Elephas maximus indicus: one gene and its partners. The protein of the gene in region 4 interacts with the protein of the main gene of each other region in a pairwise test. Links are inferred from orthologs where the notes say so. Each region holds a gene or a part of one and is shown on either strand. Other genes may lie near its edges. The genes, in order: RTN3, CSNK1G2, ACTL8 and CERT1.

Evidence for each region.
Region 1: the proteins of CERT1 (region 4) and RTN3 interact in binary tests that used the Homo sapiens proteins (3 or more experiments, as listed by UniProt). The link is inferred for Elephas maximus indicus from reciprocal best matches to the Homo sapiens genes CERT1 and RTN3.
Region 2: the proteins of CERT1 (region 4) and CSNK1G2 interact in binary tests that used the Homo sapiens proteins (3 or more experiments, as listed by UniProt). The two-hybrid records come from large-scale screens. The link is inferred for Elephas maximus indicus from reciprocal best matches to the Homo sapiens genes CERT1 and CSNK1G2.
Region 3: the proteins of CERT1 (region 4) and ACTL8 interact in binary tests that used the Homo sapiens proteins (3 or more experiments, as listed by UniProt). The two-hybrid records come from large-scale screens. The link is inferred for Elephas maximus indicus from reciprocal best matches to the Homo sapiens genes CERT1 and ACTL8.

Annotation. Positions count from the first base shown.
Region 1 is NC_064825.1:126,879,653-126,887,332, reverse strand, and holds the start of RTN3 (reticulon-3), read right to left. Parts: upstream 3,001-7,680; 5' UTR 2,835-3,000; coding exon 2,693-2,834; intron 1-2,692. UniProt on the Homo sapiens protein: May be involved in membrane trafficking in the early secretory pathway. Inhibits BACE1 activity and amyloid precursor protein processing. May induce caspase-8 cascade and apoptosis.
Region 2 is NC_064821.1:1,699,247-1,706,861, forward strand, and holds the start of CSNK1G2 (casein kinase I), read left to right. Parts: upstream 1-4,580; 5' UTR 4,581-4,784; intron 4,785-7,615. UniProt on the Homo sapiens protein: Serine/threonine-protein kinase. Casein kinases are operationally defined by their preferential utilization of acidic proteins such as caseins as substrates. It can phosphorylate a large number of proteins. Participates in Wnt signaling.
Region 3 is NC_064821.1:57,104,446-57,112,655, forward strand, and holds the start of ACTL8 (actin-like protein 8), read left to right. Parts: upstream 1-4,980; coding exon 4,981-5,328; intron 5,329-7,791; coding exon 7,792-8,210.
Region 4 is NC_064820.1:80,067,392-80,075,297, reverse strand, and holds the start of CERT1 (ceramide transfer protein), read left to right. Parts: upstream 1-4,780; coding exon 4,781-4,866; intron 4,867-5,095; coding exon 5,096-5,507; intron 5,508-7,906. UniProt on the Homo sapiens protein: Shelters ceramides and diacylglycerol lipids inside its START domain and mediates the intracellular trafficking of ceramides and diacylglycerol lipids in a non-vesicular manner.

The DNA of each region.
Region 1 (7,680 bases), on a different chromosome or scaffold from region 4:
CTCTTCTGCTTTTATGTTTTAAAAGGCTCTAAAACCAACAGGAGCTTGGTGAAAGCACATGAGGCTGAAGGCTGACGGCAACACTTGGTAGATTTTTTAGCATTCATTTTCATAGGTTAAATTCTGGAATAACAGACGTCATCTTATTTTCATGATACTGAAGCCTGAGACATTTTCCATGAGAGGCAGAGGAACCATTTTGCAAGGAGGAAGAGCTTCTGCAATGAAATGACTATACATTGCGGTATCTTAAGGTAAACGTTTATATTCCAGTAGGGATCTGACAAATGAGGATCTTGCATTGGGCTCACCAATACTTACATACACACTGGTAAGAGTTTAAGGCAGAGTGTCTACCTAGTTCATTTTTCAGGTGTTACTTTCTAGCTCATAGGTTTGATGGTCATTCAACAAATACTTGTCAAGGTCCAAAGGTGACAAAGTGCCTATGACTAATCTGATAAATAAAAATTCTGTAATAAAACTTTACTAAGAAATAATGGATAAACATTGAGGCATTTAATAGTACTGGGAAAATGTAATGAAAACCTATGTACTTTTAATGTGTGTACTTGGGACAACACTTTAAAATATAAATTCCACTACTTTCTGTAAAACACATAATTTCAGCATTCTTTCCACCATCATACAGTGGCGGGGCGGGGGGCGGGGGGGAAGGTAAAGCCAAGAATAAATAAAAATTGTGACAAGGATAAATGGTATCAGAAACACAAACCAAAGAGATTACATATTAAATATGTATTTCCAATTCAGGGTTTGCTTGGTGGGGTGTACATGTGCGTGTCTGTGAACAAAATATTTTCATTTCACTGGACTATTAAAGAAGCCAATTCTTCCATTACAGAGCATTAAGGGAAAAAAAAGAAGCCAATTTTCAAATGATTTCACCATTTGGCTGCAAATGTTAGGACTAAATTTTAATGCCTGCTAATAAGAATGACCCTCAACATTTAACACTGGTCTTATCTTGAGCACTAAAGGGCAATCCCAAAAACTCAGGTCTGAATCAAATACAGAAAAATCAAAAGGTTTGCACCAAAGGACCAAACAGTAAGCAGAGACAAGTAATTAAAGCCAAAACACCAAGTCGCTAAATAAGAAAGAAGCTGCTGTTCATTTGGATCTTTGCCCAGAACACAAAAATTTGGAGAAACGCTGGTGGTGTGAAGGAAACGAGGGTTCCAAATTTGCTGCCTCATTCCGTTGAGGGCGAATCCTGACCTGCAAAAGCGTCCTCTGATACGGTCTGTTTCCAATGAAATGACCATAACCACACTGGAAAATCCGACCAGGCACCAAAGCTCTTAAACAGGTGGAAATCTACTATCAGCACGGGGAGAATATATTTAAAGCTAAGATCAGAAATCTTATTTCTTTAGAACGATCAACCCAAGATTCTGGCAAAGGAGACAAAGAACCATTTTAAAATATCTCAAATCCTTTAACATAACTAGAGAGCAAAATTATCTAGCTTATGGCCCTTCCTTTAACAAAAAGCATTTTATTTTATTTTTTAATTCAAAGACTCAATTCCTTTAAGAACCACCACCTGCCTGCTCATGGTGCATTTTCTTCCCCTCAAGACGGCATCTGCACTGCAGATCTCTGCATGAGGGGAGCCTGCCAGCCAGCTCCCACCAGCAGGCAGACGCGTATACAATGGAAACTAAAGGCGGCCTGCAGCTTCGCTTCTCGTCTTTCACAGAGATGGGAGGAGAAGGGGCTTCAACCAGCTCCTGCTTTGTCTGAATTTCTCCCCCCGCCCCCCTTTCTGCAGCAAACGCCCCCTTTTGTTACAATGCGATTGATAATAGCCCACAAAAAAAAAAAAAAATACAAAACCCAAACACATTTGATGGCTTCTCATTGCTCCTTATTTATTACCTTCTAGAATATATGCGACTGATTGCATACGCCCACCCCCACGCCGCGCCAGGGAAGAGTGGGCTGTGCTGCAGAGGCAGCCACGGATCCATCTTGGCCCACCAGCTGTTCCCTCCCAAATCTTCCCCGAGCTATTCTCATCACGCCTCTTTAAATCGGGCATGCCACCAAAAATTAAAGGCACAAAAAACAGTAAAGAAACAGGTTTAACTTCCTCATTCTCCCCACGGGCAAAAAAAAACACAAAAAACACTGAAGACTACCATGTCTGATTATGACAACACCTGTCTGCAAATCTGCACTGCAACCTTTCCACCTCCATCCCCTCAAAATCCTAATTATTGCTCCTATCACCAACCTGTCCCGATCCTCTTTATAGCCTCAGTCTCTCTAATCCTCCACTAAATCAACCCCATTCAGACGACTGCGCTTTCGTCGCCCCGAACCTGGCTCGTCATATGTTTGCAGCAATAGTCCATCTAATCCCACCCTCCCCCGAACTGGTGTTTTTCCCCCACCAGACAGATCTTGGTGTTAACGCCTACTCTCTAGGCTACCTCCCCACCCCCAACCTGTTTTCCCCACACCCCGTTATTTCCTCATCGCTTGCACGACCTTAGGCTCCCCTCCCCCTTTGCCCATTTTCCAAACGCTCATTCCCGGGGGCCGAATCCCTCAGCAGCCGAGGGTAGTTTGCCGGTCCCCTCACCCCACTGCGCCCCCCGACTGAGCCCCCGGCCCCGAGCACCCTCCCTCCCGAGGGCAGGGGCTCCCCGGCTCTCCTCACCCGCACAGGAGGAGCCGCAGGTCTTCGCCCCCAGGGCGGGGCAGGCTCCCGGGCTCCCGCCGCCGCCGGGCGCGGAGGGCTCGGCCCCGGAGGACGACGAGGAGACGGACGGAGATTGAGTGGCCGCCGACGGCTCCGCCATGGCTGCGCGAGCAAGGGCGGGAGACGGGTGAGGAGAGATGTGGGGCGGGAGAGAGGGAAGGGAAATAAACTAATCGGGCAGCTGGCGCTCCGAAGTCCCCTCAGCCTTCCTGCTCCGAGGACAGACTCCGACTGACTGACCGACTGAGCCCAGGCGAGCGCGAGAGAGGAGGGAGGGAGGGAGAGCGCGCAGGCGCACAAAGGGCCCTCGAGCGCACGGCGGGGGCGGGCGGGAGCCTCGCGGAGAAGCCAAGCGGCTCAGAGCGCAGGCGCAAGAACTGTCCCTCCGCGCTCTGCAGGAAAGGCGGGGCAAAGCTGGCCTCCCTTAGCGCCCGGCCTGAGCGGCCGGGGTGGGGCGCGCCCCCCGGGAGGGCCAGAGCAAGGGGCGTGGCCGTGCTCCGAGCTCCGCCCGCCCCTGCGGCCGAAGCGGGAGGTGTTTCCTCATATTTATTTATGTAAACTTTTTTTTTTTTTTAGGGTCGGTAGTTTGTGTTTTTAGCGAGAGACGTTTCTTTTTGCTTCCATTAGATGGGAAGTATCTTTCCCATAAATTACAGAGCCGATGTCTTGTGTCCGATGCATTCCCACCTGAGACTATGAAAACTGAAAACCATAGTGTTGAGCAGGCCCACTTTAAAAGTGCTTTATGAATTTATCTAGACGTGTCGTAATGTGTCATCACCATGCGGCAGAGAAGGCACAGTCCCCCATTTGGTAGGTGGAGGAAGATGCTGAGCAGAGTGAAAAACCATTACTCATTCCAATCACATTGCAATGCAGCCGCCAAACCTACTTCTTATTCTTATCTCGTTGCTCTTTCCAAAGAGGGGTCCACTTTGGGTCTTAAGCTTGACCTTGCCTCTGAATAGGCCTTCGGACAGAGAAGACATATTTTGAAGGAAAAGAAGCTGGTCTGGTGAGGAAAAAAAGAGCCAGGAAATAAGAACATCCTGGCTGTGGTTATGGGGGATGATAACGTATTAAAAATTGAGAATATAACACAAAATTCACATAATAGAGTTTTTTTTATTAAAGGAGTACTTAGTAGAAAATATATTTGAAACCAGACATCCAGCTTATACTGAATTTTGTTCATTTTCTTGTTTCTCCTGGGTTGGCTTGCCAAATTCAAAGCCTACATCTGGTCAAGATATTTGCCAGGTGCATAATCCATTTAAAAAGGAGAACGTATCCTGGAAATAATAAAAATCAAGGCCATAGGCTTTGTTATTGCTAAAGCAGCAATCAATGACCTGAAGGGCAATTGCAGGATCAGCAGATCCTGTAAAGATGCAACCTCATGCAGCAGGAGGTAGTCAGCCAGGCGGCCACAGAGGGCAATCCAAAGGGTAGAAATCTTCTAGAACAGGCAGTGGACTCCATCTGTCCTTGACAGTTTTTAAGGTCAGGTAAAACCCAGACAGGAAAAAAAAAAAAAAAACTCCTAGCAGTTGCAATGCTCTGAAAAAAGCACAGAAGAATATTTCCCAAAATAACTTTGCAGTAAATATCTTACCCTGACACTTACAGCATCAGTTGATAATGCAGCAGCAAAGTGCCCCTTAGATGGCAAAGGGACATACAAGCTGATCTGATAACCAAGCTGGTTGTATACCCGCACTGATAATGAATAAAAAACTCATGTCATTAGGTGATAACCAAGCTGGTTGTATACCCGCACTGATAATGAATAAAAAACTCATGTCATTAGGTGCTGGATAAGGAAATGAATGATGCTGGTCCCTAGCCATCACAATTGCTAGAATCTGGAAAACCCTGGGCTGACAAAGAAGCTCATTTCCATGGCATCTAGAAGCAGAGGGGAAAAAAAAAAAAAAAAAAAAATCATTGCCATTGAGTGGATTCTGACTCTTAGCAACCGTGTAAGTTGAACTGCCCCATAGGGTTTCCAAGGCCACATAATGTTTATGGAAGCGGACTGCCACATCTTTCTCTCTGGCAGCAGCTGCTGGATTCAAACTCACAACCTTTTGGTTAGCAGCCGAGCAGCTTAACCACTGTGTCACCAAGGCTCCTGAGATGCAGAGAAAAGAAGCTGAAAATCAAGACATTGATGTGCTCTTGGTGGTCTCTTCAGACGTTTCAGGGATTTTTTTTACAACGGAGGCCTTTGTGCTAGGCCCAACTGCTGAAGCTGTCTTTCCTTCCTGCTCTTTCTTGCTGTACCTCTCAACCTCCCTGAGACTGATTCCTGCTTGGCATGTTTACATATTTGTATTCATGATTAATTTCACTGATGTTTACTGGTCATATGCTCTGTGTATAACACTATCATGGGCACGTTGGAGGGATCTACAAATATAATATGTTGCTGTGTCTTCAACGAGCTTCAAGCTTCTTGGGGCTTAGAATATACTCACATAAAGCTAAATAATACAAATTAAATAAAACCAAAAACAACCCCAAGCAATAAAAAACCATAGTGCTATGAAATTGGGCCGCAAATAAGTAGTATGAATTTGAAATAGGGGAGGGATTACCATGGAGTTATAGCGGCTCGAGAAGGTTTTATGAAGACGTTCAACCTTAAAATATGGACAGGAGTCTGGAGTGGTAAGGAGGCCATTAGAGGCAGGAGAGGATGGTGTGAAGCAAATGCAGGGATTGCTTTTGTGCAAGTATACAAAATGGCACCCCTCTGGGCAGATGAATTAGGAAAAAAAAAAATCATCTTAGCCATGCAGTTCCATGCTGGCTTGTCTAGCAGAACATGGCCTAGATTTCATCTTCTCTTGCCCCTCCCCTCCTGGGGCTGCCTCAGTGCAGTACACACACTGCTGTGCTGGCCAAAAGCTCAGAAGTGTGACTGTGTATAGGGTGTTTGGGGCATGGTTAGAGCAAGTTGGCTGGAGCCGAGGTCTTGAATTGGGACAAGAGGGAGATAAAACGCGGAAGAAAAGTTGGAACCAGACTGTGGAGAAGCGTTGATATTACACTAAGGAATCGAGAATTTGAAAGTTTTGGGGCAGGAAGGGCTCAGATGGAATTTTTTTTTTTTTAATTTATTTTGTTGTTGTTATTGAGACTATACACAGCAAAACATATGCCAATTCCACCATTTCTACATGTACGATTCAGTGTCATTGATTACATTCTTCAGGTTCCACAACCATTCTTACCCTCCTTTTCTGAGTTGTTCCTCCCACATTTAGCCCACTGCCCCCTAAGGCTCCAATCTAATTTTTTAGTTGTTGTTGTCACTTTGATCCCATATAGATAGTTCTTAAAAGAGCTTAAAAACTTAAGGAAGACATTCTTTACTAATTAAGCTAACCTATTTTTTTATTGTTTGGTTTTAAGAAGACTTCAGAGGATATTTTTGATTTAAGTTTTATACACTGGGCAGTAGTTTCAGGGATTTATCCAGCCTCAATGGCTCCAGGAAGTCTGGAGTCCATGAGAATTTGAAATTCTGTTCTGCATTTCCCCCCTTTTGATCAGGATTCTTCTATAGAGTCAGATGGGATTTTTAGAGTGTTCACTGGAGCATAACCACTTCTCTGGCCCCTACGTTGTTGTCGTTAGGTGCTGTTGAGTTGATTTCGACTGATACTGACTTCATATGGCAGAGCAGAACTGCCCCTTGGGTTTCCTAGGCTATAATCTTTATGGGACCAGGTCACCAGGTCTTTCTCCCCTGCAACTACTGGTTTGAACCACCGACCTTTTGAGTAGCAACGAAGTGCTTAACTGTTCTGCCGAGAGGGCTCCTTTTGCCCCTTTTAGGACTGGCATTTACACAATTATTTCCCACCTCAGCTTCTAGGCCATCTTGTGACTCCACTTTACATATGAACAACGTAAAGGCACAGATGTTTAACTGATGCCCAGGGATGTCAGTATTTAAGCCTGTCCCTTCCTAGTGCCCAGACTGTTGCTTAAATACCATTATTGCAAGTAGATGATAGGGGAGAAGGCTGAAAAATGTCACGGCAAGTGATCATCACGGCAGGTGATAACTATTTACTTGGCTGTTTACCCCAGCAGACTGTGAGTTCCTGAAGGACAGGAATGTGTCTTACGCATTGTTGCAGCATTAATGCCTAGCATGGTGCTTGGCTTGTTGTTGCAGCATTAATGCCTAGCATGGTGCTTGGCTTGTTGTTGCAGCATTAACGCCTAGCGCAGTACTTGGCACCTAAATAAGGCGTTTTTGGAAAGCTTTGGAATCTGAGTCATAGTGAATGCTTATTGCAAAAACAATTTTGTTTTTACGCTTCCTAAAATACTTGAGTATCTTTGTTATGACTTGGTTTTGCTTTTCCAGAATGAATATAATGTGTTCCAATTTTTGAGCACTAAGTACCAGTCATTATTACCAAATGCATCTCATTTAACCTACAGCTCTGTGATGTGGGTATTTGAAGTATTTTGCAGATGAGGAAACAGACTCAGAGAGGACAAATAACTCACCCAGGGTTGCACAGCTGGTGAGCATTAGAGCTGGAATTCAAAGCCAGGTCAGCCTGACTCTAAAGTGTGTGGCCCTTACCGCTCCCGACATGTCTTCATGTCGCTTACTTCTGAACCACGAAGAAGGCTCAACTCAAAGTGAAATGGCTGAAGGCAGAAAGGCTGTAACCAGTATTATCAATATTTAGCATTCTGAACATTCCCTGTTTTGATGACCCTGGATATTTGAGGACATAAAAGCAACAACAACAAACACATTTCTCACTTACGGGGGTTGCTTTCCAAGCTATGGCTAAACCTAAAATCCACTATAATTTGTACCATGTTGTTCTAATGCGGAACAGCTTCTACAAGGTACGGGGAAGGCTGATGTGGTACTAACATTGACCTTGATAATGTTGTCATATTGAGAT
Region 2 (7,615 bases), on a different chromosome or scaffold from region 4:
CTGCTATTTCAAACACCAGCAGGGTCACCCACGGTGGAAAGGTTTCAGCAGAGCTTCCAGACTAAGATAGACTAGGAAGAAAGCCCTGGCAATCTATGTCCAAAAACCAGCCAATGAAAATCCTATGAAGCACAGAATATCGTAATATTCGACTCCGTCACTTTCCTCTTGTCCTTAAAGCAGACATCGCCAGTCAAATCCAGAGGCGCTGGGAGGAAGTCCATCTGGCAGCTCAGACCACATCCGATCCCATCCTTAGATGGACAAGGAGGCTGAGACCCAGTGACCCGCCAACGGGTAACTCCGGGGCACAGCCCCTACCCTCACCCACCACTCCTGGGAATTTCGTTTCCTGGGAGTTAGCTTCACACCACTTGTTCCTGGAGCGGATTCAGGGTCACATGCATCTTCAGCCCTGGATGTGAGTCACTTGACCCCTGCACTTGACCATGACCGTGAGATGATGACTGATGCCCCCTTGGAGGCCCGAAGTTGGGCGCAGAGCCCCAGCAGGCGGGAAAGCCCTTTGTAATTGGAGTCGTCCTGCGTGCCGTGGCCTCTTGGGCCTGAGGATTTGGCCCAGCTCGTGGACAGCTGTCACCCAGCCTCAGCGTCTCCTCCACAGCTCCCGGCTCTCCGAGAGTGACAACTGATGTGACAGACTTAGTCACAGGCCCTGTGCTGGACCCTGTCCCAGGGCAGAGGGACCTCGGCCTGTGTAGCCACTGGGACTGGGCTGGAGGTGCTGGCCCCCCGCCCCCGAAAGAACACCTGGAGGCAGCACTGCCCGCCAGTTCAGGGTGGCTGTGTTGAAGGTTTGAATCCAGGTGACAGTGGTAGGCAAGTCACTTCACTTCTCCAAACCTCTGCAAAATGGGAAATACACAGGTCAGAGCCCCTTCCTGTGGGGGGAGAGGCCTGGCTCGAGGGAGCACTAAGTCAATTCAATTCAACTCCATTCAACACATGTCAGCTGAGCAGTTCAGGTTTGTGCCTGGATCGGCACTGGACTGTCCTCAGGGTCCCTCCAAAACCAAACCCAAACCCACTGCCTGTCGGTCGTTTGCCGACTTTTTGCTTAGCAGCCGAGCTCAGGGTCCCTCCACGGAAGTTAAACCACTTGCCGTTGGTCAGCCTTGACTCGTGGGTGGCCCGGTGTGTGTCAGAGTAGAACTACCCTCCACAGGGTTTTCAATGGGTTATTGTTTGGAAGTAGAGTGCCAGGCCTTTCTTCTGAGGCACCTGGGTGGATTTGAATCACCGACCTTTTGTTTAGTAGCCCAACACTTACCTATTTGTGCCACCCAGTGTGTCCCCCGTGCAGGTGGAGACAGATGGAAATGTCTCCTTGAAGAATTTGGGAACAGAACAGAAGGGAGTGCTTCCTGTCTGTCTCCTTCCCTGCCTCACAGCTGTTTGGGATTTTTTGGGGGCACCCTGGTGCACAGTGTTTAAGCACTCAGCTGCTAACAGAAAGGTGCGTGGTTCGAATCCACCATCCACTCCGTGGGAGAAAGATGTGGCAGTCTGTCTTCCGTAAAAATTAGAGCCCTGGAAACCCCATGAGGCCGTTCTCCTCTATCCTGTAGGGTTGCTGTGAGTTGGAATCAACTCCACAATAGTAGGTTTGGTTTTTCGTTTGGGATATCGCTTTACTTTCTTGGGGCGAAGCAGCAATGGGGAGACCAGCTCATCGTTTTTTCAACGCTCGTATTATTTTACTGAAAGTTTTGAAGGGGCAGTTTCTCACGCTCACCCTTCTCAAACAGCGTCTCCACAAAGCCAAAAGGAGTGAGGACAAGTGGCCCATGTTTGAAGTGGCGTATAAATGAGGAAGCACCGAAGCCATTTCAATTTTTAGAGAACTCAAGTGATTAGAGGGAAATATGGTCATCTGAGGCAGAAGTTTCCATGCTGGTAATTTTTCATTCAGTAATTCACGGATTCCTACAATATACCCATGGGGGTCTTGTTTGCCCCAATTTACAGACGAAGAGAAGAGAACCAGAGAGGGTAAGTGGCCCTCCCCATGGTCACACAGCATCTGGCTGGCATAACCGCAGGGTTGGCCTCACTTTACCTGTTCTTTCAGCTGCAGGAGCTGCCCCACCTTTTACAATGCAAAATGCACTGGAGGAGATGCCTGCTGTACTCCCGGGGGCTTGAGTGCCTGAAAGCTGACTTCCCTCAACGCCAAGAATGGAAAAGACTAAGAGAGAGGAGAAAAGGAAGTCCGAGCGGACACAACCCTGAGTTCCCAGCACCTGTGAGGTCCGTGGCATTTACTCATTCACTGCCGTCAGGGAAGGGAAGAGGGTACAGTGCCGAAGACCAACATGGCTCAGGCTTCCTCTGCCACATTGCTGCTGAACAAGACCTAGAACCTGCCTCTCCAAGGGCTTGCTGTTGTTGGGTGCCACTGAGTCAATTCTGACTCATAACGACCCCACATTACAAATTAGAGCTTCCCCATAGGGCTTTCTGGACAGTAATCATTATGGGAACAGATCCCCAGGTCTTTCTCCCTTGGAGCTGCTGGGTCGGTTCAAACCACTGACATTTCTATTTGCAGCTGAGGGCTGAACTGTTGTGTGACCAGGGTTCCTTTGCACGGGCTTAGTTTGTCCCTAAAATGTGTCAGCCTTCACATTCCAGTTTAATTCTACCCCCCCGAGCCCCGCCTTTTTTTGGCAGCCCTATCCAGCTACAGTACGGCAGCACTATAAGGAAAGTCCGAGATACTTTCCTATCTTCTCCCATCCAGCTTTCAGCTCTTAGGGGTCACCCTGCCCAACCATCCAGCCCAAGGAGTGACCTACCCTCAGCCACCCTGTCATGCTCCACCCCATAACACTGTCTGAAATCATTTTGTCCATTGTCCTGTTCCCCCAGCCCCCCAGGACTGAGAACTCTCTGGGAGATGGTGCCAAGAGACTAGCTTACTGTTCTATTCTTAAAGACATTGGCAGGCACTTAATAAATATTTGAATTGCTATGATTCCTCCAGCTTTAAAGACCGGGAGGCCATGAGCGTTTCTGCCCTTCCGCTCCCAGGCCCTGTCCTGGTAGAGCAGAGCCTCATGTGTGGGGCCTTGGCCAGTCACCCCCTCCCCAGGGTCCCTCCTCAGTCACGGAGCGAGTCTAACGATGTATGAGCAAGTACTTTGAGAAGCACAGTTATGGAGCGTCCATTGTGGGCCAGGTCCTGTACTTGGCACCAGAGACCCAGCAGACCACTGACCGGGTGCCTCGGGTGCTGCATCTCGAACATGGCACCCTGCAGGGGCCGATGTCGCTCCCTGTGCCAGGACCCTCTCCTTGGTCTTGCGTATGTCACGATCCTGACAAGCCCACCAGCACCGTATTTTAGAATCATCTCCCCCTCCTGGGTCATGAAACCCAAAAACCAGCGGCCGTGGAGTGGACCTCAACTCGTGGTGACCCTATGTGTGCAGACTACGACTGTGTTCCACAGGGTTTTCAGTGGCTGATTTTTTTCAGAAGATCACCAGAAGATTCTTGTGAGGCACCTCTGGGTGGACTTGAACCTCCATCCTTCCAGTTAGCGTTCACTGTTTGCACCACCCGAAATAAAAAAAACCAGTTACCCTTGGGTCAGCCCCGACTCACGGGATCCCATGTGTGCAGAACTGTGCTCCCTGAGGTTTTCAATAAAGGCGCCCCGGTTACCCAATGGTTAAACACTCGGCTGCCGACGGAAACCTTGGCTTTGAACCCACCCAACAGCTCCCATAGACTACAGCCTAGAAAACCCCACGGGGCACTTCTACTCTGTCACATGGGGTCGCTATGAGTTGGCATCGACGTGATGGCCCCCAACGGCACTCAACACCAGGGTTGTCCAGGGCTGATTTTCAGGCGTAGATCGTCAGGTCTTCATTCCGAGGCGCCTCCGGGTAGACTCGAACCCCCAACCTTTTGGTCGGCAGCCTGGCCATGATACTCAGGTGAAAAATTTCTCTTGGCCGTAAGCCACGGCACTGCATTGGACCACGGCGTTCCGCAGCCTGTCGTTGCAACGTTGATGGAGGCCCCACTGCTTCCCACTCGGGGTCCCCAGCCTCCCTCGGGCGCCCACGGAGCCGCGCCACGCACAATCCCGCCCCGTGGTGACGTCAGGTGGCGAGACCATGACGCCACACATGCGGCGGCTGGGCGGTGGCGCAAGGGCGACCGGCCACGCGTCGCCATAGCAACGGCGGGGCGGGGCCAGGCGGGCACCGGAAGCCCCGCCCCTCGAGCGTAAGAGCCGTTTGGCTCCTTCCGCGATCGCGCGCCTCCTGGGGCCCCGCGGGCAGGGGCTCTGCGGCCCCGGAGCGGCCATAAAGCGCGGCAGCTGTCGCGCGGAGCCGCCCGATGCCGCAAAGCGGGCGGCGGGCCGACGCGCTGCACCGCCGCCTGGCGCGGCCCCACCCCGCGCTGTGACGTTACGGCCCCGCGCGCGCCCAGCCCGGCGCACGGCGGCTGCGCTGTGCGCGCGTCGCGGCCGCCGCCCCCAGGCCGACGCTGGCGGCGTAAGGCGCGCGGGCCCTCGGCGGCGGCGCTCGAGACGCGGTGCGGAGCCGGGCGGCGGGGACGCGGCCCCCGCCCCGAACATGCGGAGGCCGGCCGAGGCGGCGGCGGCACGGGAGCGGGGGCCCGAGCGGGCGCCAGAGCCGGAGCGGGAGCGGGAGCTGGGCCCGGAGCGCAGGGCCGCGGCGCGCTGCTGAGGCGAGTCGGGGCCGCCGAGCGCGGCTGGCCGGGGCCACGGCGGAGGCCGAGAGGTAAGGACGCGCGCTCGCCGCGGACGCGCGCCCGGCCCCGGGACCGAGGGTGGCCACCCCGGCGCCCCACCCCGCGAACCCCACGGTCCAGGCCCTTCCCCCTCCGAGTCCGGGCTTCAGACCCCCGTCCCCTGCTGCGCTCACCCCCGTGGTCCGGACCCTCGCCCCCTGCTCCGTTCACCCCGGTGGTCCAGACCCCCGCCCCCTGCTCCGTTCACCCCCGTGGTCCGGACCCCCGTTCCCTGCTCCGTTCACCCCCGTGGTCCCGACCCCCGCCCCCTGCTCCGTTCACCCCGGTGGTCCGGACCCCCGCCCCCTGCTCCGTTCACCCCCGTGGTCCCGACCCCCGCCCCCTGCTCCGTTCACCCCCGTGGTCCCGACCCCCGTCCCCTGCTCCGTTCACCCCGGTGGTCCGGACCCCCGCCCCCTGCTCCGTTCACCCCCGTGGTCCCGACCCCCGCCCCCTGCTCCGTTCACCCCGGTGGTCCCGACCCCCGCCCCCTGCTCCGTTCACCCCCGTGGTCCCGACCCCCGCCCCCTGCTCCGTTCACCCCGGTGGTCCCGACCCCCGCCCCCTGCTCCGTTCACCCCCGTGGTCCCGACCCCCGCCCCCTGCTCCGTTCACCCCGGTGGTCCAGACCCCCGCCCCCTGCTCCGTTCACCCCCGTGGTCCGGACCCCCGTTCCCTGCTCCGTTCACCCCCGTGGTCCCGACCCCCGCCCCCTGCTCCGTTCACCCCGGTGGTCCGGACCCCCGCCCCCTGCTCCGTTCACCCCCGTGGTCCCGACCCCCGCCCCCTGCTCCGTTCACCCCCGTGGTCCCGACCCCCGTCCCCTGCTCCGTTCACCCCGGTGGTCCGGACCCCCGCCCCCTGCTCCGTTCACCCCCGTGGTCCCGACCCCCGCCCCCTGCTCCGTTCACCCCGGTGGTCCCGACCCCCGCCCCCTGCTCCGTTCACCCCCGTGGTCCCGACCCCCGCCCCCTGCTCCGTTCACCCCGGTGGTCCCGACCCCCGCCCCCTGCTCCGTTCACCCCCGTGGTCCCGACCCCCGCCCCCTGCTCCGTTCACCCCGGTGGTCCCGACCCCCGCCCCCTGCTCCGTTCACCCCCGTGGTCCCGACCCCCGTCCCCTGCTCCGTTCACCCCGGTGGTCCGGACCCCCGTCTCCTGCTCCGTTCACCCCGGTGATCCGGACCCCCGCCCCCTGCTCCGTTCACCCCCGTGGTCCCGACCCCCGCCCCCTGCTCCGTTCACCCCCGTGGTCCCGACCCCCGTCCCCTGCTCCGTTCACCCCGGTGGTCCCGACCCCCGCCCCCTGCTCCGTTCACCCCCGTGGTCCCGACCCCCGCCCCCTGCTCCGTTCACCCCGGTGGTCCCGACCCCCGCCCCCTGCTCCGTTCACCCCCGTGGTCCCGACCCCCGCCCCCTGCTCCGTTCACCCCGGTGGTCCCGACCCCCGCCCCCTGCTCCGTTCACCCCCGTGGTCCCGACCCCCGTCCCCTGCTCCGTTCACCCCGGTGGTCCGGACCCCCGTCTCCTGCTCCGTTCACCCCGGTGATCCGGACCCCCGCCCCCTGCTCCGTTCACCCCCGTGGTCCCGACCCCCGTCCCCTGCTCCGTTCACCCCGGTGGTCCGGACCCCCGTCTCCTGCTCCGTTCACCCCGGTGATCCGGACCCCCGCCCCCTGCTCCGTTCACCCCCGTGGTCCCGACCCCCGTCCCCTGCTCCGTTCACCCCCGTGGTCCGGACCCCCGTCTCCTGCTCCGTTCACCCCCGTGGTCCGGGCCCCCGTCCCCTGCTCCGTTCACCCCCGTGGTCCGGACCCCCGTCTCCTGCTCCGTTCACCCCCGTGGTCCGGGCCCCCGTCCCCTGCTCCGTTCACCCCCGTGGTCCGGACCCCCGTCCCCTGCTCCGTTCACCCCCGTGGTCCGGACCCCCGTCTCCTGCTCCGTTCACCCCCGTGGTCCGGGCCCCCGTCCCCTGCTCCGTTCACCCCCGTGGTCCGGACCCCCGTCTCCTGCTCCGTTCACCCCCGTGGTCCGGACCCCCGTCCCGTGTCCCCTGCTGCGTTCACCCCGGTGGTCCAGATCCCCGCCCCCTAGTTCAGACCCCAGCTCCCCAGTCCACACACCCGTGCCTTGCTTAGTCCTATCTCCTGAATCGCTACTCCAGACCCGCCGCCCTCAGTGAGCCTTACCGACCCCCATAGTTCAGGCTCCCTGTCCACCACCTTCATGGACGGCCCACTCCAGCCCTGTCCCCACTGACGCTCCCACTCCAGGTCCAGCCGCCCCCACTGGTCCTGCCACTGCAAACATTGTCGTCCCCCCCCCCCCGCTCCCCGTCCTGCTGCCCACCTCTGACCCTCATACTCCAGACCGATGTTTCCACTGACCCCCCCAGTCCAGGTCCAGCCGGCTCTACTGTCCACTTGGTGTGGCATCACGTCCCCCCTCCACTCCCTCTGATACTGAAGCCCACCCCCCTCCCCGTCCACCTGGCCCCACCTGGTCCCTTCCCCCTCCGACAGCCCTGCCTGCCGCACACGGCGCACTCTCGCCCCTCTTGGGCCCTGGGACTCTTGAGGACGGGGCGAGGGCGACTTGGGGTGGGGACGGGGTCCCGCGAGCGGGTGGGTCGGGTGGACCTGTTGCGGCGCTGCTCGGGAACTCCCGGCTCTCTGCGGCCGCGCCGCCCCTTCCGTCCTGGCCACCGGCTTTGTTTTCCGGAAACACCGGATCCGGGCGGGCCACTGCGCTGGGCCTGGCGACACGCTCGCTCCTCGCGCGCCCCGAGTTTGCTTTGGGGAGGACGTTCACATTACGGGGCG
Region 3 (8,210 bases), on a different chromosome or scaffold from region 4:
TCTTGATAGAATCCCACGTAATTCTTAGGGTTTCTTCATTTTTTTTGAAATTCTTTTTATCTGATTTTTCTTTGAATATATTGGTGCCAAGTGTTTTATCTTCAGTCTGATTAATTCTGCCTTCCACTTCCTTAATTCTTCTCCTCTGACTTTCGATTGAGTTGTCTAATCCTGTAATTTTATTGTTAAATCTTCAGAATTTCTGATTGCTGTCTCTATGGATTCTTGCAGCTTGTTAAATTTTTCATGATGTTCTTGAATAACCTTTTTAATTTTTTCAACTGCTTTATCTGTGTGTTCCTTGGCTTGTTCTGCGTTTTGCCTGATCTTGTTCCTGATGTCTTGACGGGTTCTGTATTAGTCGTTTGTATTCTCCATCTGGTAATTCCAGGAAGACACCTTCATCCAGAGCTTATTGAAGCACTCATGGTCTGCGTCTTTATGTGATTTGATACTGACTGTTGTCTCTGAGCTGTCTATAAGTTATTTATTGGTTTATTTTGTTTGCTTACTATATCCTAGTTTCTTGCCTTGTTTTGTTTTGAGATGCCCAGATAGGCTGCTTGAGTGAGCTAGCTTGATTGTTTTTGCCTTTAAAGCTCTAACGTCCTGTCACCAGATGGCTAGAGCTATTACCAGGTATATGAGCCTAGGAGTCTATTCACTTTTCTTGTATGGATTCAGCTCAGGTGTCCAGGTGGTTGGTCATCAAGTGTGTGGTACAGGCTCTGTCCTACAGCCTCAGAGGGGCAGGGGTGATTGGTGTAGGTGCAGGTATCTGGTTGCAGCAGGGGGTCACGCTCTGAACAAGGCAGGGGACTGACAACTGTCCCCCAAGTATCTATGAGGAAAGCACATCCCTGTTCCCTAGAGTGCACAGGTGGGTGGGTTCTGCAGCCAGACCATGGGCACCCAATGCTTTTGGTTGTAAGGACTGGGAGGTACCACTTATCCTTGGACCCCTGTTGTGGGTGGCTAGGTTATGTGGGTGGAGCCACCAGTCTTTAGGGCCCCGATGTGGTTAGGCGAGGACCCTGTTTAATAGGCAAAGTGGTGTCAAACATCAAGTACCCACCTTTCCACCACATAACTGAAACAGTTGTAGTCTGCCAACAAGGGCCTGTGTTATTGATTCGTGCCAGTAATGCTGGAGTAAGATGGTATTTTTTTGTAGATTTTAGAAATTTGTCTGATTTATAATAGCCAATTTTTTTTCACAGTCTGTAGGTTCTCTTTTTACTCTTTTGGTGAAGTCTTTTGATGAGCCTAAGTGTTTAATTTTTAGAAGATCCTGGTTATTTAGCTTATCCTCTGGAACTTGTGTGTTGTTGGTTGCAGTTTGTATCCCGTTAATGCTGTGTATTAGGGCCTCTAGCATTGATCCTATTTTTTCTTCTATGAACTTCATTATTTTGGGCTTTATATTTAGGTCTTTGATCCATTTTGAGTTAGTTTTTATATATGGTGTGAGGTATGGGTCCTGTTTCATCTTTTTGCAGATGGACATCCAGTTTTGCTGGTACCATTTATTAAAAAGACGGTCTTTTCCCCATCTGATGGACTTTGGGTCCTTGTTGAAGATCAGGTGACCTTAGGTAGATAGATTTACATCTGGGTTCTCAATTTTGTTCCCTTGGTCAATGTATCTGTCCTTGTGCCAGTATCAGGCTATTTGGCTACTGTAGCTTTATACTATGTTCCTGAGGTCAGGTAGTGTGAGTCCTCCTACTTTATTCTTCTTCTTCAATAGTGCTTTACTTATCTGGGGCTTCTTCCCTTTATGTATAAAGTTGATGGTAAGTTTTTCCATCTCTTTAAAGAATGTTGTTGGTATTTGAATTGGGATTGCATTGTATTTGTAAATTGCTTTGGTAGAATTGTCATTTTCACAGTATCGAGTCTACCTATCCATGGTATGTTTTTCCATTTATGTAGATCTCTTTTGGTTTCTTGCAGTAGTGTTTTGTAGTTTTCTTTGTATAGGTCTTTTACATCCCTGGTTAGATTTATTCCCATGTATTTTATTTTTTTAGGGGCTATTATAAATGGTGTTTTTTTTCCTGATTTCATTTTCATCGTTCTCTTTATTGGTGTATAGGAATTCAACTGATTTTCGTATGTTTATCTTGTATCATGCTACTCTGAGGAATCTTTCTATTAGTTCCAGTAGGTTTCTTGTGGAGTCTTTTGAGTTTTCTATGTATAGTATCATATCATCCACAAATAGGGAGAGTTTAACTTCTTTATTACCAATTTGGGTGCCCTTTTTTTCTTTTTATTTCTGTTTCTTGCTTCATTGCTCTAGCTAGGACTTCCAACACAATGTTAAATAGGAGTGGTGATAAAGGGCATCCTTGTGTTGTTCCTGTTCTCAAGAAGAATGTTTCCAGCCTCTGTCCATTAAGAATGATGTTGGCTGTTGGTTTTGCATATATGCCCTTTATTATGTTGAGAGATTTTCCTTCTATACCTATTTTATTGAGAGTTTTTGTCAGAAATGGGTGTTGGACTTCGTTGAATACCTTTTCTGCATGATTGAGAAGATCATGTGATTCTTTTCTTTTTATTTATGTGGTGGATTAGGTTGATTGATTTTCTAATATTGAACCATCCTTGCATACCTGGTATGAATCCTACTTGGTCGTAGCATATTATTTTTTTGATATGCTGCTGAATTCTGTTGGCTAGAATTTTGTTGAGAATTTTTGCGTTTATATTCATGAGAGATATTGGTGTGTAATTTTCTTTTTTTGTGGTGTCTTTGCCTGGTTTTTGTATCAGAGTTATGCTGGCTTTGTAGAATCAACTCGAAAATATCGCTTCCTTTTCTGTGTTCTGAAGTAGTTTGAGCAGTAGTGGTGTAAGCTCTTCTCTGAATGTTTGGTAGAATTTTCCAGTAGCCATGTGGGCCAGGATTTTTTTTGTTGTTGTTGGAAGTTTTTTAAAATTACCTTTTCATTCTCTTCTCTGGTTATAGGTCTGTTCAGATTTTCAACATCATTTTGTGTTAGTTTGGGTAGGTAGTGTTTTTCTAGAAATTTGTCTATTTCCTCTAGGTTTGCACATTTGTTGGAGTATAGTTTTTCATAGTACTCTGTTATGCTCCTTTTTATCTCAGTTGGGTCTGTTGTAATGTCCCCCATTTCATTTCTTATTTGGTTAATTTGCATCCTCTCAGGTTGTTCTTTTGTCAGTTTTGAGCCACCAACTTTTTAGGTTAGTACTCAAGCACAAGCCATTTGCACCACCTTGGGAACCCTGGTGGTGTAGTGGTTAAGAGCTACAGCTGCTAACCAAAAGATCAGCAGTTCAAATCCACCAGGTGCTCCTTGGAAACTCTATGGGACAGTTCTACTGTGTCCTATAGGGTCACTATAAGTTGGAATCGACTCAACGGTAACTGGTTTGGTTTTTTTTTTTTTAGAGACCTATAATTGCATCACCTCTCCCAAATTCCACCATGCCTGTTTGTTATCAATCCCTTTCACCACCTCTGGCTACTGGCAACAATTGATCTGTTTTCTGTTGGTATAATTTTGCTTTTTCTAGAATGTCATATGAATGGGATCATACAGTACGTAGCCTTTTGAGTCTGGTTTCTTTCACTCAGTTTAATGCATTAGAAATTCATCCATGTCGTATGTATTGGCTATTTGTTCGTTTTTATGGATTGAATTGAATTCAATTCAATTGAATGGATGAATTCATTCAATTGAATGGATGTTTACCTATTCATTTTCCATTTGAAGGATATTTGGGTTGTTTCTGGTTTTTTGTGGTTTGGAATAAAGCAAGTATAAATATGCATATAAAAGTTTTTGTGTGGATATAAGTTTTTATTTCTCTTAGGTAAATACCTAGGAGTGGAATTGCTATGTCATGTGATAGATATATGTTTTTATAGTCTCACCAGCAGTGTATGAGGGTTCCAGTCCCTCCATATCTTCTTCAATACTTGGTATGATCAGTCTTTTTAATTTTGGCCATTCTAATAGGTATGTGGTGGTATTTAATTGTGTTTTTAATTTACATTTCCCTAATGACTAATTATGTTAAACATCTTGTCAAGTGCTTATTTGCCATCAATATATTTTCTTTGGTGAAGTGTCTGTTCAAATCTTTTGCCCATTTTAGAACTGGGTTGTTTGTTTTTCTTATTTTTGAGTTTTGAGAGTTCTTTATATACTCTGGATACAAGATCCCCATCTGTAAGATGAGTGTAAAAATGGGACATGCCTCACAGACTTATGTTAAAGATTAAATGTGTCAAAATACTAGTCTGAGTCATAAGAATTTGCTGATTTATAACCATTTTTGACCTATACAAAGGGCAATTTTACATAGTTGAGTATAATATGTAAAATGTTCCTTGTAGTGGTAGGTAGAGGGTATGTACTCTAGAAATAGTAGCTGCAGCTACTATCATCATCATCATTATTATCATTGTTACTGCTTCTGCTGCTGTTACTACTATACTAATATTAGTATTGAAGGCAGTGGCTCCTGAGGCTGTTCTTTCCTGCTCCCCAAGTCCTCTGCTCAGGCAGTCAACTTTCACCAAGTTCTTCCTGTGTGCCAAGCTTCTTGCTAAGTCTGCAAAAACTAATAAGACCCAACCTTTGCTCTTGTGGAGTAGAAATGCCACCTGGTATAATAGGTGCAACAGAGGAAACTTGATGAGAACGAGGACACTGGCAGGCCTTCCCAAGTAAGGCCTGTTAGTTGGGCCTTGTAGGATGATTGGGGGTTTGAGATGGAATAACATGCCAAGCACAGGTTAGAGCTTGTGCAAGGCTTGGAAGGGGGAATAAGCAAGCTTCAGGGAGAGCCTGAGGCTGTGAATGTGGGGCTGGGAAGCAGCCTATGGTGGCCTAGAAAGTGTTCATCAATATCCCCTACCTCATCTTTCCATAGGTGGCCCTAGTTTTCCAGACATTCTCGGGGAGCCACATCCAGAAGACCTCTCCATTTACCTCTGCCATGGGCTCAAGAACCATTATCATTGACCACGGGTCTGGCTTTCTGAAGGCTGGGTTGTCAGGTTGGAATGAACCCCAGATGGTTTTCCCGAGCATTGTGAACTACATACCGTGCCGGGAAAACCCCGGCCCAAGCTACGCCCGGAGACGCGTTAGTCTGGGCATTGACTTCTGCCATCCTGACACCTTCAGCTACCCCATAGAGCGCGGCCGGGTGCTCAACTGGGAGGGCGTGGAGCACATCTGGACATTTGTCTTGGAGAAACACAGGCAGGAACAAGAGGACTTCCCAGTGATGATCACTGAGAGTCCTCTGAGGGAGCCTTCGGACCGACGGAAGACTATGGAGGTAAGACCTTCTCTGGGCTGCCTTCACTGGGACTGGGGAGGAGGCTATACTGGGGAGCATTGTGTCTAGATGTGACAGGTGTTGAGAATTCAGCTTCTTGAAGCATTTGTCCAACAACACTTCCTGGGAATCTAGTATGTGCCTGGAGCCCTGGTGGCGAAGTGGTTAAGAGTTCAGGCTGCTAACCAAAAGGTCAGCAGTCAGAATCCACCAGCCGCTCCTTGGAAACTCTATGGGACAGTTTTACCCTGTTCTGTAGGGTTGCTATGAGTTGGAATTGACTTAATTGCACATAACAACATAACAACAACAGTATGTGTGCCCAGGCCCCTGGGTGGCACAAGTGGTTTGCGATTGGCTACTTTACCTAAAGATTGGTAGTTCCAACCCAACCAGTGCCACAAAAGTAAGGCCTGGCAATCTGCTTCTGTAAAGATTATAACCAAGAAAACCCTATGGAGCAGTTCTACTCTATAGTATACGGGGTTGCCATGAGTTGGAATCGACTTGATGGCAACCAGTTTTTTTTTTTTTTTTAGCATGTGCCCAGCACAGTGCTAGGGAAGAGGGGCTTATAGAGGCTCCTCCTGTGGATGAAGACACAGCAATTAAAATATTCTGTGGATAGGGCGCAAGAGAGGAGATACTGGGTATTCATTCATGGATGCCATAAATGTTCACAGACAAGTGTTCTGGCCCTCACAGAGCTTACATTCTGAGGGAAAACTCAGACCACGAATAAGCTAACAAAACAAATTTCAGATAGTGATCAGTTCTAGAAAAAATATCGAGAGGTAGCTGACTAATGGGGAGTGAAAGAGCGCCTTTGAGAGGTGGTCAAGGAGGGCTTCTCTGAGGAGTTGACTTCAGCCAGTGAAGCTGGAGCCCAGTAAGTGGGAGAGGGGGTGGCAGGAGGCAAGTGGGATGGTGAGGTCAGCAGATGCTTGGGGGAGCGTTTGGGTTTTATTCGAAATCAAGAGTAAGACGGCCTATGGGCCAAATCTGGCCTACCACCTGTTTTTGTAAATAAAGCTTTATTGGACTAGAGCCACACCGATAATTTGCATATTGTCATGACTTCTTTCACACTCCAATAGTGGAGTTGAGTAATTGCAACAGATACTGTATGTCCTGCAAAGGCTAAGAAATTTACAATTGTAGGTTTGCTAGATGACATACAGGATGCCCAGATAGATTTAAATTTCAGATAAACAGCAAGTAATTTTATGGTATAAGTATGTCCCAAATATTATATGGGACATACTTATACTGAGAAAGTATTTGTTGTTTATCTGAAATTCAAATTTAACTGGGCATCCTGTATTTTATTTGCAAAACCTGGCAACAGTATCTGGTCCTTTACAGAAAAAGTTTGCTGAGCCCTATTCTCAGTGAATGGAGGCTCCTGGAGAGTTTCAAGAGAAAGAGTGATATCTGATTTTCTGTTTTAAAAGGATGACCCTGGCTGCTGTTTAAGAAGTGGATGATTGGGGGGGAACAATATTCTGAGAGTGGGAATGGAGGGGATACCCCTTCCATTGAGGGGACAAGATAGGCCTGCTGGGTCCTGAAGAGGTAAGTAAGTGGCCAACGACCACAGACTGGTGGACAGTTATAGTCCTTCTCTACCCAGAGGTTCAGATCCCTGCCAGAGGTGGGGACTGGGTGGGTGGGCGGGGGGCTGTAAATATCCAGAGGATCCCTGGATGGTGCAAATGGTTTGCACTTGACTACTAACCTAAAAAAGCTGGCGATTCAAACCCACCCAATGGCACTGTGGAAGAAAGGCCTGGCAACCTGCTTCTGTAAGGATTACAGCCAAGAAAACCCTATGGAGCAGTTCTCCTCTATAACACATGGCTCACCGCAAGTTGGAATCAATTCAATGGCAAGAGGGGTATAGATCCAGGGGTTGATAGGGCAGGGGGAAAAAGTCAGCCCAGAGATTTTGCCAAACCCTGAATATTGAAATTACAGTTTTACCTTGAAGTTTGGAGAGTTATTATGAAAAAAAAAAAAAAAAAAAACTTCCCCTAAAAGGCAGTGAGTGCATTTCTTTCTTTCTACCCCCACATTTTGGAGGCAGCGGTGAATGTGCAGTGCTTGTTTCTTTTATAATCTCTTCTAAAGGGATGATTCAGGCTGCAAACCTGCCCACTTCCTGGAGTCTGACAGCTCTTCCCCTTTCTCCACCAACACAGTCTGAAGGGCCACCATCAAACAAGCTCTGAGTGCAGATCCAGCTCCATAACTAGCTCTCTAGAGCCTCCTCTTGTCCCCACAGGATGAGCTCCAGAACCCCAGAACCGACATCCTAGGGCCAGCCTGTGAGTCTCCTCGAGTGGAGGTCTATGCGGTTGTCCACTTTGAGAGCTGAGCATGTCGTATAGTCTTGGGGAAATAGAAGACAGTCCAAGCCCTGTGTTCGGGGAAAATGCACTGAATGTATCTCCCTTCTTGCAGATTATGTTTGAGTTGCTGGATGTTCCTTCTGTCCTCCTGGCTGACCAGCTGGAGATGTCACTGTATGCCTCTGGCCTCCTGACTGGCGTAGTGGTTGATTCCGGCTATGGCCTGACCCGTGTAAAATCTTTCCATCTGGGTCGTCCGTTGCCCTCAAGCTGTAAGACGCTGGAGTTTGCCGGCCAAGATCTCTCTGCTTACCTCTTCAAGAGCCTCTTTAAGGAAGACTGCAACCGGCACAACCTGTTTCAGCTAGAGACGGTCGCCACGACCCAGATGGGCAAGTGCTATGTGCCACAGAATTTGGCAGAGGCACTGGACTTTCGTCAGAGCCTGCCCAGTGGCTCCGACGAGAGCAACATCTACCAGCTCCCCGATGGCACACCAGTGGAGCTGACGCCCATGCAGCGACTTGCTCC
Region 4 (7,906 bases):
ATCATGGAATCTCCAGTGTCATTTCTATCACCAAGGCCATATTTTCCAACTACCAACCCCTCTTTGTTTCCAACTTTCAAAGTCCAATCACCAGTAATTATCAATGAGTCTTGATTGCATGCCTGATCAATTTCAGATGGCAGAAATTGGTAAAAATATACAATTTCTTCATCTTTAGCCTTAGTGGTTGGTGCATAAATTTGAATAGCAGTTGTATTAATTGGTCTTCCTTGTAGATATATGGATATTATCCTGTCACTGACAGCGCTCTACTTCAGGATAGATCTTGAAATGTTCTTTATGATGATGAATGTAATGCCATTCCTCTTCAATTTGTCATTCCCAGTGTTAGGGACTGAATTGTATCCCCCAAAATATCTGTCAACTTGGCTAGGTCATGAGTCTCAGTATTGTATGACTGATTGTCATCTGATGTGATTTTCCTGTGTGTTGTAAATCCTATCCCTATGATGTAATGATATGGACTAGCGGCAGTTATACTGGTGAGATCTACAAGATTAGATAGTGTCTTAAGCCAATCTCTTCTGAGATATAAAAGAGAGAAACAAGAAGAGAGACAGGAGGACCTCATACCACCAAGAAAGCAGCGCCAGGAGCAGAGCACTTCCTTTGGACCTGAGGTTCCTGTGCTTAGGTATTCCCAGGCCAAGGGAAGACTGATGACAAGGGCCTTAATCCACAGCCAACAGAGACAGAAAGCCTTCCCTTGAAGCTGGAGCCCTGAATTCGTACTTCTAGCCTACCGGTTTGTGAGAGAATAAACTTCTCTTTGTTAAAGCCATCCACTTGTGGTATTTCTGTTATAGCAGCCCTAGATGACCAAGACACCCAGCATAGCAGACCATAAGTTTTTCTGATTCAAAATGGCCAATACCAGTCCATTTGAGCTCTCTGGTATACTGACCTACAGAATACATTATTTATTCATACAATTCTTCCCACTTTTGCAGGTATTCTGAAACAGAGAAAAGGGCATGATCTTTTAAATCAGAGAGAGAGACCTAGGTTCAAATCCTAACTCTGCCACTTAGCTGTATGATATTTGGCAAGTGTATCCTCTCTAAGCTTCAGTTATCCTTAAAATGGGAATAATGTTCACTTTACATAATTTCTAAGAAATAAGTTGGATAAAAATAAGTCAGATAAAGGTAAAGTATCTGAATAGTACCAAGACTTAACATTGTAAAGATGTCATTTCTTCACAAATTAAGTGTATTCTCAATCCAAATCTCCATAAAATTTTTTCATGCAGTTTGACAAGCTGTTCTAAAATTCTAAATTTCAAAATTCTAAAATAAAACCAAAAACCAAACCTGTTGCCATTGAGTCAATTCTGACTCATTGTGACCCTATACCCACAAAACCCACTGCCGTCAAGCCAATTCCTACTAACAACAATGACCCTGTAGGACAGAGTAAAACTGTCCCCAGAGTTTCCAAGGCTGTAATTTTTATGGAAGCAGATTGCCACACCTTCCCTCAAGCTGCTGGTGGGTTCAAACGACCAACCTTTCAGTTAGCAGCTAAGTGCTTAACCACTGCTCCACCAGAGCTTCTCTCGTATTAGCATGTTGTTGTTGTGCACCGTGAGTTGATTCCAACTAATAGTGACCCTACAAGACAGTGCAGAACTGCTCCATAGGGTTTCTGAGGAGCTGCTGGTAGATTCCAACTGCCGACCTTTTGGTTAGCAGCCTGAGCTCTTAAGCACTTTGGCACCAGAGCTCCATAGATATACACAAATACATTAATGAAAAAGAATGGAGTCCAGAAACAGACTTAAGGGGTATATGGGGTTTTGTATATCATAAAGGTAGAAAGGTATGTATACACTATACAAGCAAGTATTGGGTCAAGTGGTCGACCATCTCTAATAAAAAACTAAATTCCTACCTCATTCCGTATACACACACACACACACCTCAGATGGATTCAAGTTCTAAAAAAAATTACTAAAAGAAAATATACACCATTTATAAGTGGGTTGCAAAAGGCCCTACCAAAAAACCAAACCAAACCCACTGCCATCTAGTCGATTCCAACTCACAGCGACCCTATACAACAGAGTACAACTAACTGCCCCATAGAGTTTCCAAGGAGCACCTGGCAGATTTGAACTGCCGACCTCTTGGTTAGCAGCCGTAGCACTTAACCACTACGCCACCAGGGTTTCCAAAAGGCCCTAAGTAAGAGAAAACTCAGAAGCTATCACTCCCACCAGAGAATAAAGAAAGTTCATATATTTTATTTTTGTATTGCAGTTTCTCCCCATGAACAGTAATGAAGTGAATCTCAACCTTTAATGTTGCACTCTAATCACTATGCAAACATCTTTTCTGCACTTAAATCAAAAAAATTTTTTTATAAGTATAAAGGAACAATGTGGCCAGAACCTATTTAAAAAGACAATTTCCCTCATATTAATTCATATACAATGAAGCAATTTCCTGAGTGAAGGAGCACCTTAATTGATTTAAGTGCTGGTGGTTTACAACCACATACGATTAACCTAAAAATGCATAAAATGCCATCTTATAGAAGCTCAATTTAAAAACTGTAAGAATGGCTTGGGGGCAGTATCTGATTTCCTCCAACCACACAAAGAGTAAGGGAAACCAAGAGCAACAGCCCAAGGCTGATTCCTATACGGTGGAGATCAGATCCACCTCTTCTCTCTGCCCTCTCCACCAATTCTAATACCAACTGTCCCTCCCACGGCACTCTCTCTACTGGGTTTCATAATTCTTTGCAATAGCCACACAGAACTCACAGACCACACTCACAATTATGGGGTACATTAGGGAAGTAACAGTTATAATTCAGGCTCAAGAACACTCAGGATACAGTTCTTCCATCAGGATAGCCTCTCCTCAGCTGTGCTCACAGGCATGTCTCTCCCAGGTCCTCAGTCTCTGCCCAAAGGCACTCAGCTTTCTGTCTCTGTGGGCTAGGAAGCCCACCATGCCATCTCCTGCTGCTGGATCTATGCTTCTGGGTCTCTTCTGCTGGACTTGCCTTCCTTGGTCATGGTAGGCTCCTCCTCTCTGCTCTGGAACTGGCTCTCTTTTAAGGCAAAACTGACCAATCCTCTTGGCTTAGGCTATCACACAGTCCTGCCCAATTACCTGGGTGGGAGTTACAAGACCATGGCTAGAAAGGCCACACAAAAATAATCAATCCGTAATCAATTGCACTGTAAAAACAAATTCACACTATGCTTTCATGATTTTAAACTGTATTATAAAGTGGATTTCTCAATAATTCATAATCATTTACTAAAGTTCAATGACATTTTAAAACCTAGAGCTTGAAAGAATCAGAAATACAAAGTCTATATTACGTAATTGGAAGGCAAAGTAAAATTTACAGTATTCAACACTTTTGGCCTTCATTTGTAATCCATTAAGGAAGAAAAGTGTGCTAAATGGCTTTTTTTTGGAGGGGGATGATAACTTCGGGATTATGTTTTACTATGTTGACAACGGATTTTTAAAAGCTTTCTCTTAAGGTTATTCATCCCAATGGCTTTCAGTTATACATTATCAATTGATTTCACATAATGGGAAAACTATTTGTAAATGGTTACAGCAGATCCAGCATCTATAAGTGGAATGGAAGATATCAAAGGTACTTCTCTGAGACACTTCCCATCATTCCTTTTTTTTCTTCCAGATGTCATTTTCCTCTGCCTCACCACATCCCCACCAGTTATTTCAGGCCACAGTGCCTTTTCCCCAGACTCAAAATTTCACTCCTATTCCTCCCGTCCCTGCAGTAATCAGGTAGGTATTTTTTTTTAAAGTTTAGTAAGGAATTTTATTGTTCGCAACAATCAGGAAATTGACAAGATGGAAAAGTAGTAAAGGCAATAACTGAGGCTAAAAATGCAAAGGTTTCACAAGTTATCTTTATATTCAAAAGGACTAGACAGGATCTGTTAGATTTGCTATGGGTGTTTCCACTAATTCTAGTCTTGAGACAAAACCAGTCTCCCATTGCCTAAGCCACTTATTCAAGAAGACAACTGTACTTTGGTCTTATACGGAAAAACTTTCTATTTCAATCATTCCTACTTTCCAGGGAACGCCAAATCGGCAGCGATGGTTAAACTGTGTCTCAGGAAGACAGTAATTTACAATTCAGAACACTTCAGATTACTATCTCACATTCTCAAAAATTCTTCTAACGTGACGCATTCTCTGACAACCTCAAACTTTCTAAAAACACTAGAGAGCTAACAAAATGCTTAGTGCTGCTCTCGTGATAAGGGGCTGAGGACATTCTTCAAAAGCGGAAAAGGTGAAGCGTTAAGTCTGACATCTGAAGAGAGAGAGAGAAAACCTTCCAAATTTGCAGTGGTGGCCTGGCGGAAAGAAAACATCCTTTGTCACTACAGAGATAGCAAACCCTCGTCCCGTGGACAGCTAAGGTGCGAGCGTCCGGTACATCCCGCCCAGGCAAGAGGCAAGATGCTACCGGCTTTCGGAAAGCAGTCACACGCTGCAGGCCCAGAAACCTCAGTGGCGAAATCTCACATCCGGGCTCGCAACCCCGGCGCGTTCGTCACAAACACACTAGGTAGAAATAGAAGAGAGGCCGAAAGGACGGGTCACACAGCTTTGGTACGCGAAGCCCACCCACTGCTTGACCGTCCCCAGGACGACGAGCCCCACTCCCGCGAAACACTCACCGGCTGCCTCAAGCTCACGACTACAACTCCCAGGAGGCTGCGCGGCTAAGGAGCAGAGTCCCTCCCAGCATGCAGCACGGCAGCGCCCCTGTCCCTCCCTCTTTTTTCTCCACCCCACCTACTTTTCTACCCGTCGTCGCTCGGGAGAGCCATAGGTAAGGTGTGGGAGGTGGACCTTACGCCCTCGGCGTGCAGCGTCAGACTTTGGGAGGGGGACAGGGAGGGGAGCGGAGAGAGAATGGGAGGACGAAGGGGAGGGGAAAAGGGAGGGGAGGGTAAATAGTGGGCCAGGCAGGAAAATGGCGACCGTAGCAGAGGTGTGAGTGGATCCGGGTCTCCGTAGCTGGCTTTTTCTCTTCCTCCCTCTTTCCTTCCCTGTTTAAGACTGGCATCCAGGGGATCGAGTTCAGGTGGCGGCACCGGGCGCAACGCAGGGGTCACGGCGACGGCGGCGACGGCTGACGGCTGGAAGAGCAGGCTTCCTTCGCCGCTCGTCCTCCTTCCCCGGTCCGCTCGGTGTCAGGCGCGGCGGCGGCGGCGACGCGGCGGGCGGACTTCGTCCTTACTCCTGCTCCCCCCCGCGTCCGAGCGGGCACTCTTCCCTTCGCCATCCCCGGACCCTTCACCCCGGGGACTGGGTGCCTCCCCCGACGCACCTCAGGGAGCGGAGGCCAGTCTCTTGGTTGGCTGTCGCGCCTCCATGTCGGATAACCAGAGCTGGAACTCGTCGGGCTCAGAGGAGGATCCGGAGACGGAGTCCGGGCCGCCTGTGGAGCGCTGCGGGGTCCTTAGCAAGGTGAGCAACCCGCGGGGCCGGGAGACCGCAGCCCGGACTCACTTGCTGCGAGGCAAGCCGCTGAGGGCTTGGGGTGCGGCTGGCCCGGCGGCACGGACCGTCCCGGGGCGGGGGCTGCGGAATGTGTCGGTGTGGGGGGCTGAGTCCTGCCGCAGGAGTGCCCGCGGCAGGGGTGTGGTGGGGGCTGCGAGAGACTGTCCTTCCTGGCTATCTAGAGGCTCAGCGGCGAACTGGGGGACCCGTGTGCAAGCCAGAGCTCCAATTTGGGAGGCGGGATGCGCAACATGACTTGGAACCTAGGGCGGCAGCTGCCCCGGGTGGAGGAATCCGAGTTGGACAACGGTGACGTTAGAACAGCTCGGCACGGGGGCGGTGTAATTAGGACTCCCCCGAACGAGTTTAGTCTGGAGATGCTGAGCAGAGTCGGGTTGGGGGCTCTGCGGACGCGGCTGTGTAGGCAGATGCCGGAGTAACTCGGCTTAGTGCTGAAATCTGAGGTGGTAGGCAAGATACGCCCCGTTAGATGTAAAAGATATGAATGAGGAGGACTTCTATACTGTTCTTCCCTAGCCCGGTACCCTTGTCCTGGAAAAAAAAAGGAAAGCACTGTTTAATTGACACGGGATAGTACCAAAAAAAAAAAAAAAATTATAATGGAGACCGACCTTTGGCCCAGGAAGAAGAGAATTATTAATAAAATATTCTTGTAGGCAGGGTTCCGGGGTAAGGAAGACACTCTTAACTTTGCTGTATTTTTTTTAATCGCCTTTTCAAAATTTTAGAAAAGTAGATAATCATTTGTAGGACTATAAGGCTATTAATGAGTTAAAATGGATGAGGCCCTTTTTAAGAGAGAAAGTGTGTGATTTTTTGATAGTACTTTTTTTTTTTTAAGTGTTTGCTATGGGAAGATTCACGTAGCCTTTTCTACTTCCTTCTTCCTTCCTGTTAAACTTCTAGAAATGACTGGAGCTTGCAGTTAACTTGCAGAGAAGGGGAGCTGGGGCCAGTGCCTTAACAATCTGATCATATGGTACTAGGTCATGTGCAGCCACTGACTATTAAGAAATCCCTCTGCTTCCAGTATTCATACTTGGCTAAGCATTCGGACCTCATTTATGGAATGTTTCATATTAGGCTATTAGAATGTCTTTAGAAGGCTGGTGAGAAAGGGCCTCGGAAAGGAATGTAAGAGCAAAATCTTGCAAGTGTTAACTTATTTGTCCAGCAGAAAATTATGCTGTGTGTTGGTACTGTGATCATTCTTGAAATTCAAGTGAAAGGTTTTCAGTAAAGTGAAGCTCCCCAGGGTTTCTTTAGATTAAACATATCTTGTAACTAAGGAATCTGTATTGAACACAGTGCATAATAGGTACCTGTATACATTTTCAGGTGGGAGTAGTTATGAAATGGGTTCTTTGCTTCTAAATGGTTCTGGCCATTTCATCACTTTTTCTCATTATGTGAGAAACACACTGCCGTATTAGTGCTGTGCTGGTGTTAAGTATTTTACAAAACAAGTTGTACTTTTGATCTACTGATTGTCACTTTTTTGCTCTTGAATATTCACTGTATATAGTATACATTATAAAAAAAAAAAAAAAGACTGTCTCTTTGATATTTAAATGCATAGAAATGTAGTATTTGACCTCTTCTCTGGTGCAGTGGGTTATGGTGCAGTGGTTAAGATGTCAGCTCCTAACCAGAAGGTTGGCAGTTTGAATCCACCAGCTGCTCTTTGGAAACTTATGGGGCAGTTCTACTCTGTCCTTTGCAGTCACTATGAGTCAGAATCCACTCGACCGCAAAAAGTTTGGTTTTTGGTTTTTATGGAAAGTGAATAGCTTCAGTTTTTACTGTTGCTCCATATATGGAATTAATAAGAATATATGTTTCAATGCAATTGTCGTAAACAGCTATGAAGGAAAATTTCCTGAAATTTAACAACTTATGGTTATATATAATGTTTTTTGGAAGCTTTTTGATGAAGGGTATTTTATCTTAATTATATATGCTGATTATGGCACATGTTTTTAAATTCAAATGTACTTATATATTTTGACAGGAGCCGTGGTGGTGCAGTGGTTAAACATTTGACTGCTAACCAAAAGGTCAGTAGTTCGAATCCACCAGCTGCTCCTTGGAAACCCTGTGGAACAGTTCTACTCTGTCCAATAGGGTGGCTGTGAGTTGGAATCAACTCAACGGCAAAGATTTTATATATTTAGAGCCCTTTGTATTCACCTGGTAATTTAAACAAGAGTTAGAACTCATATCGGTTTTTTTTAAAAAATATTGTGTTTTAGGTGAAAGTCGACAAAGCAAGTTAGGTTCCCATTTAACAATTTTTATGCAAATCGTTCAGTGACATTGGTTACAGTTTTCACAATGTGTGAGCA